Oryctolagus cuniculus: one gene and its partner. The protein of the gene in region 1 binds, or shares a complex with, the protein of each later gene. Links are inferred from orthologs where the notes say so. Each region holds a gene or a part of one and is shown on either strand. Other genes may lie near its edges.

Region 1 (9,754 bases):
AAAATCAACCATGACAGATGGAAAGATTGTATATAGTTTTGACCTTTGCTAGGGTTTGAATGTGTCCCTCAATGTTTATGGACACTTAATTTCCTTACTACTCATGGGTTTAGCTCCTTTAAAATCTATTAAGAAACAATTATAATTAGTTATCTAGTCATCTTTAGGTCTTACTTTTTCAGGATCTATGCTGCATTACCCAAACACCTAGTGAATTTGCTATTTCTTGTCTACAGTGAGTGCTTTGTAAAATCTATGAAACAAAAGTATTCATTTCTTTAGAAAAAAAGATTATTCAAATATGATGTAATAGTGTTTTTTTCCATGACTGAGTGACCTGAGAATAATTTACCTAAGTTTCATGTGCATTAACAATCAAGAAAGCAGTGTTTGACTCCCCGTTTAGATTAGAATTTCTAATATGTTTTTCAAATTGCACCAAAGAGTTTTGTGAACAGTTTCAAGGAGTTTGTAGACCAGGTTGCACTCATTTTAGTTTTCTTTCTCTGAGACTGGTGTAAAAAATACAACAAAGAAATGAATATAAAAATAACGAATTAATAACTACTTAATCCTAAGCAGGAGAACAAATCATTACCTTTAAATTGAAGTAGATCATAGTAACACTGAAAAAGAAAATGTGGCCATCTAGTTATCATGTGTATCACTCATTCACTATTTTAGGGGCATCGGCCATACATTATCAAGCAATCATTAATTAAAATTTCAAATAATAGATTCATTTTTAAGCATACCTCTAATTCATGCATCACTTATAGAAGTTAATAAATGTTTTGAAGGTTGAGAAAATAGAAGTAACATCCTAACAAATAGTGTCCAAATCCAGAATATTCAAATTTTTCTACTTTAGAAGAATAAATGCCTTTCCAAAATGTTCCTTAGGTATGGATCACAGAGGTATTGACATTTGTCTAAACTCTTCAAATTACATGCTTAAGCCCTGTCCATTTAGCTTTATATGCATTATACTTCAATTATAAAAAACTCTTAACCATAAAGACCAAATAACTAAAATCACTTAATACAAGAGAAAAATACAAGAAATAGAAAGGTTCATGCTGAGTGCTATTGATTCATGCAGTCACTTCAAATCTTTTTTATGCTCTTACTTCAACCACTATTTGATCATTGGATCTAGTCCTAAGGGAAAGTGTGGAGAAGCAATTGAACCAACCCTTTCTGCATTTTTCACACACCTTGTCCCTCAGCATTCATGATTTAGAGTTCAAGGTAGGTTTCAAAGGGTGCATTCATATCAAGAGGATTACATGAAAGCATTGGGGGGTTTTGTGGCTAAAAGGGCTTTTCTTTGTTCTCTTACCAGGGGAGAAGGTTTGCTTTGGGCAAGCTCCCTATGGTAAACCTCTTTGAGGAACTCATTCTGAAGTGCATTCAATCCTGTCTTCAGGGCCATCTAGTTGCAGCATTTAAAGGGGATATTGGGACATTGCCTCTCACCACCTTGTAGTCTTTTGAGAGGTGATCTTAGCCAATCTGGAATTTCGGCAGATTTCCTAAAACTTCACTTTGCAAAAGTGTCTACAGAAAAGCAGCTTTTTGAAAGATGGCACATTTACCTAGGGAAAAAAAAAAAACCTTCATAAGCACAAAATTATTTCGAACCTCAAAGTTTTTGGAAAAATATTTTAACATATATGTGGGTACTTCATATATGTGGTACTTAATATATGTGACTACTTTAAAAAGTACATAGAAAACTGGGTATCATGAAAAAACTGTGCAAGGATTATAAAATATTTTGCACCAAAATAAACATCATTTTTAAAAGATTTATTTATTTATTTGAAAGTCAGAGTTACACAGAGAGAAGAGAGGCGGGGGGGGGGGGGTGTCTTCCATTCATTGGTTCACTGCTCAACCTGGCTGCAATGGCCAAAGTTGCGCCAATCCGAAGCCAGGAGCCAGGAGCTTCTTCCTGGTCTCCTACACGGGTTCAGGACTTGGTCCATCTTCTACTGCTTTCCCAGGCCATAGCAGAGAACTGGATTGAAAGTGGAGCAGCCGGGACTCAAACCAGCACCCATATTGGATGTTGGCACAGCAGATGGTGGCTTTACCTGCCACAGCAGAGTGCCAGCCCCTAAACTTATCATTTTTAAGATCTATTTACTTATTTATTCATTTGAAAGGCAGAATTACAGAGATATAGAGAAAATGAGAGATGGAGAGATATTCCATCTGCTGGTTCACTCCCCAGATGGCTGCAACAGCCAGGGCTGTGCCAGGCTGAAGCCAAGAGCCCAGAGCTTCTTCTGGTTCTCCCATGTGGGCAAAGGGGCACAAGCACTTGGGTCATCTGCTGCTGCTTTCCCAGGCACATTAGCAGGGAGCTGATTCAGAAAAGGAGCAGCCAAGACTCCAACTTGCACCCATATGGGATGCCAGCCCTGCATGCTGCAGATTAACCTGCTGTGCCACAGTGCCAGCCCTTAAACTTACCTTTAAATTTCATTTTTCCGTAAGCTTTTTGAAGTATCTTCATATACCAATAAAATTTACAAGGAACCTAACTACTGGCAAGTTTATGTGTAAAGTTTATCATTAAGGCATTTCAAGACACAGAGTAAAAACTTGTATTGGTAGCAGTATTTTTCAAGGCATGAGTTAAAAAAAAAAATAAAAGATCTGTCCAAAGATTTGTTCCCACTTTTCTGCACTTCTGCACCTCAAGCCACTCTAACAGGTCAAGTTTGTGAGACTGATTGATTTATTAGAGCCAACAGGCAACTTTAATTCTAACGATTTCTCTCATTTTCCAAAAGGGGAACCTGAGACGGAGATCAGTTCCTAGACTTGATAATGGCCATCCATGAAGATCAAATTGTAAATCTTTACATGTTACATGATCAGTTTTACATACATTTTGAGGTGAAACATTTAAATGATAAACTGCAATTAAATGCTACTAATGTTTAAAACATTGCTTTCTCAAGGTAAAAAAAAAAATCTATCTAGACTGCATGTGGTTTTGTTAAGTAAAAGTGCAGTCTGTGTAACCAGATAGACACAGATTCAAATCTTAGCTCCAGGGGCCGGGGGCCAGTATTGTGGGGCAGCAGGTTAAGCTGCAACTTGTGATGACGGCATCCTATATCAGAGTGCTGGTTCAGATTCCGGTGCCGATCACCTGATCCAGCTCTCTATTATGGGACTAGGGAGGCAGCAGAAGATGGCCCAAGTGCTTAGGCCCCGTACCTATGTGGGAAACCATGGTGGAGTTCCAGGTTTGGACCTGGCCCAGATCTGGCAATTGTAGCCATTTTGGGAGTCATTCAGCAGATGGAACACTGATCTCTCCCCTCTCCCCTCTCCCCTCTCCCCTCTCCCCTCTCCCCTCTCTCCTCTCCCTCTCTCCTCCCCCTTCCCCACCTTTCAAATTTTGGGAGTCAGTCAGCAGATGGAACACTTAAATAGGTAATAGAACCCTGTAATGGGTAGCCAGTAGCATATTTTTAAATTCTAAATGAAGAATGTTTTACTTAAAAGTATTTGGCTTTGTTGTTGATCCCTAGAATTACCAAAATAGAATTAAATAACTTAAAATATAATTATCAAATTATAATTACAAAAATTACAAATACAAAATTACAAATTACAAAATATTTTTGAGCCCAACTTGTGGAAGGTATTTCAATGGAACAAAAGGAACATATAATTCAGCCCCTATCCTGAAAAAAGAAATTGATTCACATGAAATCAATAGTGACCCATATAAGTCTCTACATGGTCAAGTGCTTACTTGTGGCTGAGAATCAAAAAGTGTTATCAGAAAGGGGAAGAGGGAAGCATCAGTGAAGATTATAACACCCAGAACTCGGGGGAGGGACTATGAATGGAGTTGGGGATGGAGTTGAGAGGGTGCTTGGGGAGAGAGAAAAGCTGCCCCACAGGAGGCATATACTTGAAGGGAAGAGGCTTAGGTAGGAAGGACAGGCTCCAACCTGCCTTTGGAGGAGCCAGCTGAGCAACAGTCATATTCCAAGTGCTCTCTTATCATTTCTCATCCACCCAACCTTTTGTTGCCTGGCTCAGCTTTGAAGCAATGGAATGTTGACAGGGAGAATAAGGGCTGTGATCAACACAGCCAGATTTGGAACTGGGAATCACAACCCTAGGCCTATTTCTAATCTTTTATCCTTACTCCTCCGCCATTTTCTTAATCATATTTCACATTGAAAGTTCATCTATTTAAACACAAAGCAATTGATTTTCTACTTCCATTTTCCCCAGAAAGCACTGTGTACCAGCCAGAACCCCAAGGTCCCACCCATGCCATTAACCAGCCATGAAGGAAAGAGCCAGGCACCTTGTCTCTGGGCAGCAGGTCCTTCTGGGAAGGAAACTGCACTGCTGGACTAGGGATTCACCGGCTGGAAGACAGAAGAGGAATAGCAAGTGCATCTCACAGCCCAAGTTTCTGAATGCTCTTTAACACGCTCTTTAGGCAAAACTGCCAGCCACGAAGAATGCGTTTGATTGTTCTGCCTGATAATATACTGTTCAATTTACAAGGCGGCTTTCTGGTTTTCTTCCTGTCTCCTACAGGTGTCGGGTCCTGATGGGCACTGTATAAAAATCCCAGAGTTGACCTGGCAGTAGCACTCAGGACGCCGCAGGAAGAGAGGACAATAGCTGTGCTACAGTTAATGAAGGAGGACTTCTCAGTCCTTTAGGGGCCAGGGAGATGGCCTGAGAAAAAAGCTCTTCTTTCATGTTGAAACTTAGAGCGCAACAAAAACGGAGCCAAGAGCAGCACCCCCCCCCCAACCATCCAGTTCCTAAATATCACAGCGGCAGGCACCTTTATCTGCAACAAAAGTCAGAGTAGGCATTGACTGTCCCGATTAATACAAGAGCCCGGTTCTAGTCCAGAGCCTCAGAGTGCCGTGAGGCGCGTGACGACCCATTCTGGATTTGGGCTTCTCTTTGACAAATAAACAGCCTCTGGGGAAGCGCCCCGGCCACAGACGGCCCCTCTGCCGCTGATGCTGTCCAGGCATCGCCCAGGGGAAAGGTTGTGGCGCGATCGGAAGGCGCGGGAGGAGTCAGGCGGTGATTGATGGGGAAGCGACGAATGAATAAAAGTACTTGTCTGGGGACAGCAGAGACCCCGAGCAAGCCCCGGACGTTTCGCTGTCTGGCATTCTCTCCGCCTTCCTTCAGAGCCAGACCCGCCTGCAGCTGGAGGGAGGCGTGCTCTGCTCCCTGCGCATTTAGGCTTGGAACCCAACTGCGAGCCAAGCGTGCCTCCGTTGCAGCTCCGGGAAGGAGGTCCTCTCTTGTCGCTCTGCGCCTGCTGCCTCCGTTCCGCGAGGTAAATATTCTGGCTTGGTGTTGCATTAAAACCAGCGCTCGGATCTTGTCCCGGGGCCTCGACTTGACTTAGTAGTTTGGGATTTTATCGATAGAACAAATTAAAATGAGCGTGCGGGTACAGGATAGCCTGCAGCCCCTAGAAGGGGGACAGAAGTTTTCAATTTAATCCAGTATCCTCCCCCGCCATGGGACCCAGATGACAAGTCTCAGGTTCCCCGATTCCTACCGCGCAGTTCTGGGTGCGCTCGCGGAGCTGGAGCGCAGCCAGCCGGCGAGTAGCGGCTTTCACCCCGGGAGGACCCTAGGAGTTCAGAGCCTGGATACCGGGGTTCCCCTATAGGGCAAATTACAGAGTAGCACACGACCTTGGCCACTAGGTGCTTTGATTCCTCAGCCCTCGTGCGCTCCCTAGCCAGATGCGCCAAACTTCCCCACTGGCGCGCCAACTTGGTTTTTGCTTTTGCGCGCAGACGGTGGCTACGTAGTTGCTTCCTGCGCTCGCGTTTGCAGAGGCGTGGCTGGAGTGGCTGACCCAAGTGTTCTGTCTTGATTCCCCTGCCGGTCTCCAGGCTCTGAAAACTGCCGGGCTGCCACTTGACGCCCCGCTAAAGCAGGCAGCAGCATGCAGCCGCCGCCAAGCCTGTGCGGACTCGCCCTGCTGGCGCTGGTTCTTGCCTGCGGGATGGCCGAGGTCTGGGGAGAGGAGAGAGAAATGCCGTCTGCCCCCGCTACTCCACCGCTTCTGGGAGCCAGCGAGATCCTGACACCTTCCACTAAGACCTCTTGGCCAAGGGATTCCAACGCCAGCCTACCACGGTCGTCTGCACCTGCTGAAATACCCAAAGAAGGGAGGACAGCCGGAGCCCCGCGACGCACCCCTCCTCCGTGTCAGAGACCAACAGAGATTAAGGACACTTTCAAGTACATCAACACTGTGGTATCCTGCCTCGTGTTCGTGCTGGGCATCATCGGAAACTCTACACTGCTGCGAATCATCTACAAGAACAAGTGCATGCGAAATGGCCCCAATATCTTGATCGCCAGCCTGGCTCTAGGAGACCTGCTGCACATCATCATTGACATCCCCATCAATGTATACAAGGTAAAGGGCACCTGCTAGTAACCTTGCAGGCTTATGGGAGGGGGGATAGCACCTTTAGAGGGAGCTAGCAAAAGCCAGAAATCATTGGTGCCAAATTCCCTTCGGAATTTGGTAATCCCAGGACAAGCCTCGTTCCCAGACAAGCAGCCTTAGTATCACTTGAGAAGTTGCTAGAAATGAGAGTTTTTCTGGCTCTACCGCTAGCCTTACGGAGGAGAAAATCTGGCTTAGAGCCCATCGATTTCTTATTGAACAAGCCCTCCAGGTGATTGCAATAAACTGTAAAGTCGGTGAACCACTAGCCCAGAGGATCTAGTGCCCAAGTCCAGCCCACTGGCTGTAGCTTGGCTAGTCAGGTGTGACCTATGGACTGGCAGCCTTGACAGCATTGGAGAGTTTGTTGTGAATGCAAGTCTACCCCAGACTTACTGAATCGGAATCTGCATCTTGTCCAGGTGATTGAAATGCACACCAACTTTGGCAAGTGCAGTCTTGGAGGACCCTTAAGCAGAAGATCTGGAGTGGGTTTTTAGGAATAAATTACCCTGGGGCCCTGGGGAGGCCCCGACTAGTGAGCAGGACAAACACATTTCACCTGCTGTAAATGAGTGTAGCTCTTCTGTACTGAACGACTACCGTGCACCAACCACAGATTAGATGTCGTATTTCTTTTGCTCTTTCCACACACCCATAAGTAGATATTATCCCCATTTAATCGATGACAAACAGGGCACTCAGTGTCTCACAATGAGTAAGAGGGAAAGCTAGGGATCAGGCCCAAATGTACCAGATTCCAAAGTGCAAAGTATGTGACTGCGTCCCGTTGATTATTTAAGGAAGAAATCAAGGAACACTGAAAATCTAATGATTGCAGTAGTTCACAGTATTGTGTGATTATCAGGGACATCCCAGGAAACAGCCACAAAGAGCCAAGCAGGACATAAGTACCCACACTTCTTGACTCCGGATTGCTTTGGAATTCCAAACACCCCCCAGGCCCATCTGGGCCTCAGTTTCCTCAATTCCACAATAAGGCTGTGAGTGCCTACCTACAGGGGTGGGAGGTTCCTGGTGCTTAAGAAAAACAGCTTAAGAGCTATAGACATATTTAAAATTCTGCCCCCTCAGCAGCAGCACTACAGAGTTGCACGTAAAAGCACAACCAAGATGCAAGGTAACGGGATGCACTTTGTGGATTTGCCCTGTCGTGAGTACAAGGTGGAGAACGGGCAGGCAAAGGTTTTAGGGGATGCTTTGATCTTTGTGCCGGGAGCAGTTACCGTGAGTTTACAGTATGCTGTGAGGCATATCTGTAAACTTCCCTTCATGAACCTCTGGAAATCCTAATCCCAATAGCCACATTTTGAGGGAATTCCAGACATTTCTGAGGTTTAGAGAGGAGATTCGGATTAGGATCTAGGCCCTAGAGGGACACACTCCCGGAAAAGGAGGGACACTCTGAAGAAACCCTGCAGTCATGAATGACAGTTGCTTCTGAGGAACTCTGAGGGTTTTCTTGGAGAAATGGGCTGATGCATGTGTCCCTTAAAGGCAGTTCCAACTCCACTGGAGCCAGAAGTGACCCACTTACTTCTTACTGAGTCTCACAGGCCAAGTCCTACCATTCTAATTTGACAGAGGAATTTCAAGGCAATTCATCAAAATGGAATTGAGAAACTATTGAATACAAGGTGGTGTGAAAAATTAAAAATAAGGAAAACAGTATCCCTTGCAAAAGGAAGATTGCAGTCTAGTTTTGCCAGGTTTGAAAATTTTGTGTAAGTCCTAAAGAGTTCCCAGGAAACCCCACTTGAGTATCCTAGTTACAAACCTTCTGAAAGCAGCCAGCGGCTGACAAGCTGTGAGGAAGATGGGGTTGAAGACACCTTCCTGGTGTGTCGCCTCCACATCAAGTGTCAATCAGCAGTTTCAGGACCACTTTGCTTTCTGCCTGGTCACATGAGTATGTTCAGTAAACCAGAAAATATCTGACTCCCAAAAGGGTCACACAGGTTTCCTTTCCTTTCAAATTCTTTTCTTCTTTAAGATGTTACTTCGTTTTCCCTGAAGCCATTCAGTCTATTTAAGCTATATGTTTACTTCTGAAATAAACAGATGAGTCATTACAAATCTAGTGACATAATCATCTGTATTGGCCATAAACAAATTCCATTACATAAAATTAGGACCCAGAGTTAAGTATGCCAATGATGAATCTTATGTTGTGAACTTTGGTTTTAATTGAGGCATAATATGATAATGCTACCTTCTATTATGCTCTAGGGGCTTGGTTTATTTCATTACATCACTGCAACAATCCTATGGAGGTATTGTTAACCCTATTTTACATCTAGTGAAACTATGCATCAGAGATGTAAAGAAACTTGTCCAACATCATACTGCTAGAAATTGATAAAACTTAGGCTTGAACCAAGGTCAACTGGCCCTAGAATCCTTGATGCTCTCAATCCCACTGCATTGAGTGCACTCAGAGACAGCATGGCCCTCCCTAAACTTGAGTGTTACAGGACCACATTTAAGTGCATTGCTGGCATTATGCGACACAGTACCACACAATAGGATGCTGGGTGAATGTTTTTCAGAAATTAATTTGGGTCATTTGAGGATGTCTATCTCTTGAAATCCACTGTAGACAATCTAGCATATAATGATAATAGTGGATGTCATTCTAAAGGCTTTATTTACCAAAATACCTAATACAGGGCTACTAAAAAGATATTTATCCTGCCAAATCACTGCAGCTCCAGAGTAAGTTTTTAAAAATACACTTCAGAGAAGTATTATAGTTCATAACAAGTAATTTTAAGAGAATCATGAATGCCATTTAACTGTATTCTAAAGTGAGAAACTTGAGTCTCTAAACTAATGATTTCTAGTTTTGTGAGCAATAGTCTCTGAGAATATAGTATGTACTATTTGTGAGGGTTCCTGGAGTCCTTCAACCCTTCTGTTGGCACACTACATGCCCAGGGGCACAGAAACAACAATATGAATCTATTACATGAATCTGGAGTTCAAAAGTACAAAGTTCAATAAAATTGACATCCCTCAGAATGCTGGAAGCCACAGTCCTTGATGTGGCTGTGGAATGGGGGGAGGGCACAGAAGTACTGCTGTGAGAAACTAACAAACTTGGGAGCCACGTCTGCCCTGCCTTGCCTCCCTCAAGGGGCTGAGTCCCTGGAAACATTCAGGTAGTCAGTGCACTTTCCAGGTCTCCTGTTGTACAGCCAGGGATTGAAATCCTTTGTCTAAGGCCATAGAGGTATCTAT
Region 2 (9,661 bases), on another chromosome or scaffold:
AACCAAACCATCCTGGTAAAATTTCTGGCCCTTCTTATCCATTCTCTGTCCTTTGCCCAGCTCCTAAATCTTCTATTTTTGAAGTTCTTCCCTTCTAGCCTTTAACGTCTTCATTCAACCTGTTTCTCAAATTATTTTGCAACCTGTGCTTTACTAACTGGACACAGTCCCCTTTCTGTTGCTGTAACAGAATGCCTGAGACTGAGTAGTACCTAAAAGAAACACGTTCATTTGGGCTCATGATTTGAAAGGCTGGCAAGGTCAAGATCAGGTAGCTGCATCAGGCAAGGGCTTTGTGCTTCTTTAAGCAGAGGAGCAAGTGGGCACCTGTGGAAGACACAAAACCCAAGGGCCAGACCTGCCTGGCCTCCTGGGAGAGACCCACTCCCCTCTTAAAGTCACTGCCACAACAGGAATCAAATTTCAAGAGTATCAGAAGGGGTGACTCTATTGGAACCACAGATAGACAGCCAGAAGGCTTGTTTTGAATGACTCCATGAAGTAGATTGGATGAGGCGACTCCACTCTACTCACTCTCAGCTGGTCTTATTTTTCTCTCCTGCCTGCATCAGAGTCCCTTTAGTTCCAGGTGTCATAAATGACATAGACTCAAAATTAAGAAGGGTGGTGGGCATTTGATCTAGGGGTTGGGACATGTGTGGGGATGTCCACCATTCCTTCCTGGACTGGGTCCTATATGCTCTGCTCTGGCTCCTGTCACCAGCTTCCTGCTAGTGTCTATCCTGGGAGGCAGCAGGTGAGTGTTTAAGCTCCTGCTACTCACAGGGAAGACCTGGATTGAGGTCTGACTCTTGGTTTTGCCCCAGCCAGTTGCTCTCTCTCTCGCTCTCTCTCTCTCTCTGTCTCTCTCTCTCTCTTAAATTTGGATAGGGGAAGGAAAGTCAGATAAAAGACCGAGGTCAGACAAGGAAGCAATAACCACGGGGGAAGGTCCTCTGGGAAAGTCTTTGGTTGTGAACCTTCTGTGTGCTTTGATTCTGGATGCAAGAAGATCTGTTTCTTCGAGGGGCATTCATAGGAGTTTTAATGTGGGATATTTGGAAGTTGTCTTGAAAGTAGAGATCAGAGAGGGAAAGTATATCAGGTTTATTAGTACAACAAGGCACAGCATGGTGCAGTGGATGTGACCATGCTGGTGTTGGTATAAGTGGCTAGAACATGTATGCACCTTTTTATTTTTAATAGTTTAGTGAATATATAATAATTAAATGTTTGGCATGTATTAAACCATGATTTCATGTACATTATCTAACCACACAAACCATTATTTCATGTGCCTTATCCCTTAGGATTGCAGTGATATAAAATTTCCTTAAAGTTATTCAAATAAAGGAATAAATTAAATAAAATGTACAGGTGCCACAAAAATGTGGCAACAGTTACAAAGTTACGAATGACTGAGCTTTGAGGAATGCTAGGTTAAAGAACTGGATATATTCTTTTAAACCAAACACTCCCTGTCTGATTTCATCCTATGGGTACGTGTCAAGGAAATAGGGTTGCATAGATTAGGTTTCTGAAACGCAGGCAATGCTTTTACTGTCACTGTCATTGTATTTCCTGCCCTGAATCAACCATTTCTTTGTGAACCCCAGGGAAAAGCTATGTTTGTTCAGCACTCTTGGAGGTGTGCAACGTGTCACAGGCATCACGACAGTACTGCACGATTTTTCACAAGAGCGTGACATACAGGAGGATGGAAGACAGTCACCAGCAGGGCTGGGACCAGGCCTTACCCTTGCCTACAGCAACCAAGTGCCCCTTTCTGTGCTATTGCCCGGCAATCTAATGCCTACGGTCCTCACTGAGCTAAATGCAACATCTCTTACCAAATCCCTCAGCTTGGCAAAGCTGCAAGTTTTCTTACGCACAAGTTGAGAGAGAGCAAAGGAAAGAGTGCTAAAGGCAGTACACTCTGCTACTGTGTAGCATCTGTATTTGGGACTCAGGCTGCTTTATTTATAGATATCTATTAATACATAGAGATACAGGAAGAAATACATAAAAAGCAGCTTTATCAACCCGTTTCCAGCATGCAAGTGTAACATAAAAGCAAAAGAGTTACAGAGAACCGTTCTGCTGCAGGAAAGACACCATCTCCACTCCTTCCAGTCCCGCTTCCCCTGGGGGTGACCTCTCTGCCGCTTTGAGGGCTGGGGCTGGGGGCTGTGCAGGCACCTCCTTGGCCATCAAACCAGAGCACCTGGTCCTCTGTCCGGCTCATTTCACCTCCCCTTCTCCTACCTCCGTCTCCAGCAAGGCCTGAAGCTCAGGGAAGAGTGGGATCCCCCAACTGGTAAAACGGGTTTGCTGGGGTTCTACCCCCTGTCCCTTGATTCTTGGGGAACTTGCTGGCTGGGAGGCCGGAGCCGCCTTCCCTGGGCTTGCGCGGGGTTTCTTCTTCCTCTCCGAGGAGGAGAAGGAGGCTGAAACCCGAGAGCAAGACTGACGCCCCTCTCCCCAACGCGCGCGCCCAGAGAGACATGAAATCCACGCACGCAGGAGCACTCGCGCCCGCGTCTAGGGCGCTCGGGGGTTCAAGCGAGGCGGGCGACGTTCTCCTGGGAGCCAGGTGGCCCTCCCGAATCTGAGGTCCTGCCTAATTTCACCTAGCTGCGGGAGGCCCGGCTGGTGGCGGATCGCGGCCCGCATTTTGTGATTTCAAATCCAATAGAGTCAAGGGGATGACACGGACAGCCCGAGAGGGGAGCGCGCGGGCAGGTTTCCTCCCACTCTTCTCTACTTGGGCGCCGGTGCCGCCGCTGGCACCTGCAGGGGCGGCCTCGGCCAGGTGGGGGCGAGGCGGGCGCCCCAGCAGGAGGGCAGCCTAGGCAGGACCCGGGTCCCCGGGATCCTGGGGACGGCGGGTGGCCGTTTCCGGGGAGGAGCCCCCCGGCCAGGTGGGTCTTCAGGGTGGGCAGTGGAGGGAGGCCTGGGTCTCGTGCACATGACATCAGGTCCCCTCGTGTCTCCTTCCCCAGGTACTGCGTCCAGTCGAAGCCGGCAGTGGGCTGGGCTGAGGCCGAGCGCCCCAGGTCCGGGTCCCCGGGGATTGGGTGGCAGCACCAGAGCGCATTAGGAGCCTGAACCCGCTGCTGTGGCTTGGCGGCCTGCGTCTGACTCCAGGGAGGGCCTGGGTGCGGGGAGGAAACCTGGACTTTTAGGTGGTGAGGCGGTGGCCCCGGGGGACCCTCCTGGGTAGAGAGACCCCTGGAAACGGGCCCGCGCGGGCTGCCGCGCCAGGGAGAAAAGGAGTGGAACGAGATGAGGACACGGAGGAAGTGTGTCCCGCAGGGTCCCGGGTGCTGGGGAGGCGCTGGAGAAGAAGACTGCCTGGACCCACGCAGGTCTCCCTGGGGGCGCCCTCTGAGAAGCCTGGTGGCGCGCTGGCTTCTGTTGGGTGCCTCCGTTTTCTCACCTGGAAAATGGAGCCCCTTGAAAGGGGCGGCGTCCGACGTGGGCGCTTCGCCTTCTTCAGCAAGGCGTGCTGTTACCTGCGCGGCGGCTGCCCCGTGGGCACCGCCAGGGCTCTGTCAAGGTGAGACAGACAGGCAGCTGCTTTGAACATGTCAACAGGAGAGGCAGGATCCGATCCCGTCCCCGGCCCAACGCCACCTTCCCTGCGGATCACCGGACCCCTTGGGGTGGGGGCACCCTGGTGGTGGTCCCATGGGAAAGCCGAGGGGAAACCGAGAAGCAGGAACGAGGTCCTGGGCGAGGAAGCCGGGGAGTGGGAGTGGGGGGGTGGGGAGGGGGCTGGAGCGCGCGCTCCTTTCCCGCGCCCCCCCGCCCCCCCCGCGCTCCCTCGGTCCCCGTCGCCGGCCGCAGCCGCGGGTTTCACTTTTTTGTCCTAAAACACAACTGCAGCCCCTGTGGCTCTTGATCGCCCCCTGGCGTCCCTGTCGCCCCATTTTTCTAAGAGCGGTACTGTGGGTCCGGTCCGGGGCGCAGAAGAGAGAGTTTGGGGGGAGGGGTCTTCAAATAGGTGGACAATAAAACAAAAAAGGGGGCATGTGTCTGAGTAGCTCTGATGTTTTTATTACGCCCCTCCTTTGCCAGTCCCTCCCTGATCTTCCTCTCCGTCGCCGCGCAAGAACTTTAATCCCCAAAGGACTTGGGGGTAGGGGCTGGCAGGGAGAGAAATGCACCTTGCTCGGCCCAGATCGTTGGACCCCCGGGGCGGGGGAGGCGGGGAGGCAAGCAGGAGAGCGTCCCCTTGTTTGCCCGAGACATAAAAGGAAAATGAAGTGAACAACAATGAAGAAAAAAAATCCCCCTGCACACAACAATACAATCTATTTAAACCGTGGCTCATACTTTTCATACCAATGGTATGACTTCTGCTGTAGTCCCTCTTCTGATTCTTGGACTCCCGGGCTGGCAGCTCGCACAAGGGGAAGCAGACTGCAGCGCCGCACGGGCAGGTTTACCAAAGGTCTCTAATGGGTATTTTGTTTCTGTGAGCCCGCCCCTGAATTGTCAGACGGCGGGCGTCCGCCTCTGAAGTTGCAGCGATTTCCTCTCGGGCCCGGCCTTATCTCCGGCTGCACGTTGCCTGGCGGTGACTAATAACACAATAACATTGTCTGGGGCTGGAATAAAGTTGGAGCTGTTTACCCCCACGCTATAGGGGTTCAATATAAAAAGCCGGCCGAGAGCTGTCCAAGCCAGACGCGCCTCTGCAGCTGCGCCGAGGCGAGTGTCCCGGGTCCTCGCTGCGTCCCCGCGCTGCTCCGCCGCCGCCTTCCGCGCCGCGTGCGCCCCGCGCCCGCCGCCTGCGCTCCGAGCACCGGTGGCCTCTTCTCCCCGGGACCGGAGCCCGGGCCGAGGATCCGAGCCACGAGAAGCGCTGAGGCTGTTTTTCATCGTCTGCTTTTGGGTTCAGTTTGCCGGAGATTTTTTTTTAGACCTTTTTCAGAATGGATTACTTCTCCATGATGGTCTCTCTGCTGTTGGTGGCTTTCCATGGAGCTCCCGAGACAGGTAGGCACGCACGCGGACTTGCAACCCCCTGTGCAGGTTAATGTCTCTACTCCACTGAATGCATTTCTTGCTTCTGTTTTCTTTTTATTACTAACGCTTAGATAGCAAGTGCCTGACGAGCACTGCTCGGAGCTGCCCAAGTGTTCCAGGGAAAGTAAGAAAATTCCTCCACCGAGTATAGCGGAGCATGAAAATGACTTCTGATTTTTTAAGTTGTTCTTGCATAATGCATTGGCTTGGCTGTAAAATTAAATAATGCAGAGCGGGTATGGAGAAGCTAGGACGCAGTCGAGGGTGTATTTTGCCATATAGGTGTTCGTGCAGGTACTTAGAACAAACACGCGCTGTTTCAGCTGTGTGAAAGTGTGCAATATTTCAACATTCCAGCTTGCAGCCAAGAACTTTTATTCAAGTCATTCAAGCAATATGTGAGCAGTAAAATACTACTTGCCGAACAAAGTCTGTTGATTAAGCACTCCCTCCCCCCGCCTCCGCGGGGAGTTTCGGGGTGAAGCAGATTTTTTTTTTTTTATTATTTGTCATTATTGACTTTAGATTTCCTTTTGGCAGATTTTTGGCACTCCCAACAGTGTGAGCTCTATTTTCGGTTGTGTTCACCTGTCCTGGGTTGGGAGCAGGGATCATTCTTGGTTACTTAAGGATTTAGGCAGTACCGCGGTGCGTCTCCCCGCCGCCGCCCCCTTACCCCTAATTTTTTAGGGTCAGCGCACTTTTTTGGGGACTTTTCATAACCCTGACAAAAGAGAAAGGGTGTCAAGGGGATGAAAATCCAGGAATGTGTCTGATCATTTGAAATGTACCGAATCGGGCAGATAAGCGGCATGGCTGTTGGATGGTTGGTGGGATGCGCAGGGCTGCGCCCCCGAGGGGGAGGCGGTAGATCCCACACAAGCCTGGCGCCGCGGCTCCGTGGATTCTGAATTCCAGAGGCGCAGCGCTCTCTCCAGGTGCACCAGCTGCTTCTCGGAGGAGCTCGCTGGCTTCTGCAGTGAAGGGGATATTGTGTTCGCTTCCCTTCTTCTCCCTCTCCCCATCACTTCCCCAGGGCTCTTTGCCCCCTGCCTAATTTCCAGAGGTGTGGATACCGACCCCAGACCCTTACACAAGGTGTGAAGTGGCTCATCTGCAATGAGGGAGCGGCTCCTGTACCAGGAATAGAGCAGCGATGTACTGGTTTTCAGTCAGCGGCCAGTGCAGAAGCCCACCCAAGCCCCCAGCTGGCAGCATTGCCTTGACGGCTGCTGCAGACGGGCTGGCGAAGTCCCTTTTATAGGAGTTTGTCTCTTCTGCTTCCCTGTCATTCGTGGGAAGGTGGATAAGCCAGCAGTGGGTAGAGCGAGGTGGTGTCAAGGAAAGAAAAAAGTAAAGAGCCCCTTGGCTGCCCCTGCTGCTGCAGCAGGTGCTATGCCGCCCCCGCGCGTGCCTGCCCCGCCAGATCTGGACTGATGTGCGCCTTCTCTCCACAGCGGCCTCGGGCACGGAGCTCAGCACAGGAGCGGAAAACCCAGGGGAGAAGCCCCCGGCCAGCGCACCTTGGCGGCCGCGCCGCTCCAAGCGGTGCTCCTGCTCCTCGCTGATGGACAAGGAGTGCGTCTACTTCTGCCACCTGGACATCATCTGGGTCAACACCCCCGGGTGAGTCCCTAGGGGGCGTCGTGGCTCCAGTCATTCCTGAGCTCTGGCTCCGCGGAAGCTGAAGCGCGGGTCCCGGGTGTACCCTTTTCTCGGGGGAGCTCCCGGCTTGGCTTCTGAGAGTGGCCTTCTGTGTCCTGCAATTCGCAGGGTCTTCTGAGGCCTCTGTGGCTGAGACTGGTCCCTGGGAGACGGGGTGCAAGGTGCTGAGGCCAAGCAGGGAGCCGCTATGCGGAACTGCAGAGGAGAACCCTCCCAGAAGGGAGCTGTCTGAGCAGGCTGTCACAGGGCTTGGTGGAAGAGTCTCCGGATCCTAGCTGCCTTAGCCCAGCCTGTGCTTCTCACAGCTGGGCAGAGACACAGGCAGAAGGGCGCCTGGGGAGCAGAATCCAAACCCTTCATCTTACTTCTAGGAAAAGACCTTCGTGTCGGAGGCCACCTGTGCCGGCATGAGGCAGAGCTAGGACTGGATCCTGGGTCCTGTCCCCTTTCTATCCATAGAAAAGCTCATTTCCAGGCGAAGAGAGGCATGCAGCCCGTGGGTTCCTCTCCCCCCTGCAGAGTGAAGACCAGTTATAAGCAGGGACCCTTTCACTTGTCTATCCCGTCCATGTCCCATTATGGAAAAGAACAGCCAAAACCCAAATCCAATCCGATCCAACCACAAAGAGCCTAATACTTAGTGAGGTGAAACTGTCAAGGCGTTGGGGGTGGGGGCACTTTTTACTCCTCAGGGGACAATTCAAGGAGTCCCCTTAGAAAGTACCAGAGGGTCTCCTGCAGTCATGTGATGTGTGGAAACATACATTATATCATACCTGATTCACAGGACAGTAGGTTTTACAAATCTTATGAGTTATGGTTTTGCATTATGCTTTCTGCCATCTGTCCCCCCAATATACAAGGGACACCAAAGCAAAGATCCCATAATTTTAGACCAAAACCAGCTGCTGGTCTGGAGAAGTAACTGAACTTTGTTAAGAGTTGAAAAGGAGCCTCATTGAATCAGCAGCTGGGGTTTTCTCCCGGCTGGGTACACACACTCAGGGCATTGGAAGGGCGTGTGGCCACCCTTGAGTCTCCTAAGTTACTGCTCCCAAGTGCTGTAGCTCTGTGTGTGCCCAATGGAATGAACTCACCCCAAAGAATGTGGCTGTTTTAAAGACTATTGATGATGCTGACGTGTTTTGCTCTTTTCTCTCCATCACAGGCACATCGTCCCGTATGGACTTGGAAGCCCGTCCAGGTCCAAGCGATCCTTGAAGGATTTATTTCCTACCAGGGCAGCGTACCACAAGAACAGGTGCCAGTGCACGAGCCCACACGACAAGAAGTGCTGGAATTTTTGCCAAGCAGGAACGGAACTCAGGTGAGTAGGAGCAGCTTTGCTGTTCAATCAGGGTTAAGTCTCCCGACCTCTTTCCTAGGATAAGGACACCTCCTTGCTTGAGAGAGAGTAACTGATGTTGAGAGGCAGGATGAAACTGAAGATGTTTTTCCTGTGTGTTTTCACAGAGCCCAAGAGACTATGGAGAAAGGCAGGAACAACCTTAAGAAAGGCAAAGACTGCTCCAAGCTTGGAAAGAAGTGTATTCTTCAAAAGCTGATGCAAGGGAGAAAAATAAGAAGGTAAGAGACTCTGCACAAAATTTATTTTTGGGCACCGATGCTGGCATCCTTTCTGCCCTTGAACCATTTACCTAGCTGGGCAGAAAACCTCCAAGACAGCAAGAAAAGGGATCTTGGAATTCACGAGATGAAACAGAGTAGAGAATTCCCTCTCGAATATTTTCACAAAGCCTTGATTGCTGCTCCCTGTGCTTGGGGCACAGCCCCTTCAGTCAACATGTGGATTTTCCAAACAAAGCATGTCAGAGATGTGTCTGTCATTTGGTCACAGTCAGATGTTGCCTCTCGGAGTCCGTGCATTTACTTCTTTCCTTGACAAGTTAAAAATCATGTCAGGGAAAGGACATAAAAGAAAAAAACAGAAAAACTCAAAGTGTCTTGTATCATCAAGGTCTTCAAAAATCAGCAGTTATTCAAATGGCCAAAGGGAAAGTGAAGTCATTAGGCAGGGTTGGTGAGATTTAGAACATGCTGTCTTTTGGGTTTGCTTATTTATTTATTTTAAATTAGGGAAATGCATTTGGTGGCCAGCCCATGTCATTCCAGAGACTCTCTGGGTTTGTAGTCAGTCTCAGGTGGGGGTTGTTGATACCTGTGCTGCCTGTCTGTGTACAGGGTCCCACAGTGGTTGAGACTGGGATGGGGCTGCAGAGGAATTGAGAGCATCTATTTTAAAATCACACTTGGCGCTCAGTTCCCCTTGGCCATGACCTTAAGACCCTCACCTCCATTCAAAGCCTAGAGGGCGGGCTTTATTTTCACAATGGTAATAGATACCTCTTGAGGTTTTATCACTGCTAGCATGCTGTGGAGGTCAGTGGTAAACACAGGAATAGAGGAACAGATTCCTATTCTTGTGTCAGATGCTAATGTTAGATGCTTCTTTAGTCCAGGAGTGAGTTGTAGCTAACAGTTCTCTTCCCTTGTCTTGGGTGGACAGGTTGGAGGCCATCAGCAACAGCATCAAGACATCTTTTCATGCTGCCCAGCTGAGAGCCCAGCTCCACCGAGAGCAGAAAGTGACCCACAACCGGACACATTGATGACCGATCTCCTGGGCCTGTCGGAGCCGTGTGGCTGACTCTGCTCACTCTCTCACTCGCTCTTTCTCTTCCCTCACTGCCTGGGACCAGAGCTGGAGCTGTCTCCCTGTCAGACTGTATCTTCTTCCAGCCGGGTGGAGAACCAGCGTCCTTATTCTGAACGTCCCAGGAGAGACCAAGGAGTGCTCGCACCTGTCTTCCTTGGCTTCCTACGGCAGGAACTGCTCGGGTCTCCTCTGTGGCTCGGGGATGGTAGTAGACCTCTCAGAAGGCAGAGACACACAGTGCCTTTGGAGCTAGGGTGCCAGCCTCCAGCAGGATCAGGGTGGAGT

Evidence for each region.
Region 2: the proteins of EDNRB (region 1) and EDN1 are in contact, whole or in part, in a cryo-EM structure (PDB 8XWP), measured with the Homo sapiens proteins. The link is inferred for Oryctolagus cuniculus from reciprocal best matches to the Homo sapiens genes EDNRB and EDN1. Residues at the interface, in NP_000106.1 of Homo sapiens: Pro88, Pro89, Ile94, Glu95, Ile157, Asn158, Lys161, Glu165, Asp166, Trp167, Val177, Pro178, Gln181, Lys182, Val185, Phe240, Ile243, Met245, Tyr247, Leu252, Ile254, Leu256, Leu257, His258, Pro259, Lys270, Lys273, Leu277, Trp336, Leu339; in NP_001403492.1 of Homo sapiens: Cys53, Ser54, Cys55, Ser56, Ser57, Leu58, Glu62, Cys63, Val64, Tyr65, Phe66, Cys67, His68, Leu69, Asp70, Ile71, Ile72, Trp73.

The regions. Positions count from the first base shown.
Region 1 is NC_091440.1:34,446,740-34,456,493, forward strand, and holds the start of EDNRB (endothelin receptor type B), read left to right. Parts: upstream 1-5,002; 5' UTR 5,003-5,356; intron 5,357-5,927; 5' UTR 5,928-5,980; coding exon 5,981-6,460; intron 6,461-9,754. UniProt on the Homo sapiens protein: Non-specific receptor for endothelin 1, 2, and 3. Mediates its action by association with G proteins that activate a phosphatidylinositol-calcium second messenger system.
Region 2 is NC_091436.1:158,320,670-158,330,330, reverse strand, and holds the start of EDN1 (endothelin-1 precursor), read left to right. Parts: upstream 1-4,887; 5' UTR 4,888-4,940; coding exon 4,941-5,004; intron 5,005-6,491; coding exon 6,492-6,660; intron 6,661-7,867; coding exon 7,868-8,026; intron 8,027-8,172; coding exon 8,173-8,286; intron 8,287-9,226; coding exon 9,227-9,329; 3' UTR 9,330-9,661. Other genes in the region: uncharacterized protein, read right to left, coding at 2,631-3,154, 3,440-3,551, 4,348-4,492, 4,577-4,887. UniProt on the Homo sapiens protein: Endothelins are endothelium-derived vasoconstrictor peptides. Probable ligand for G-protein coupled receptors EDNRA and EDNRB which activates PTK2B, BCAR1, BCAR3 and, GTPases RAP1 and RHOA cascade in glomerular mesangial cells.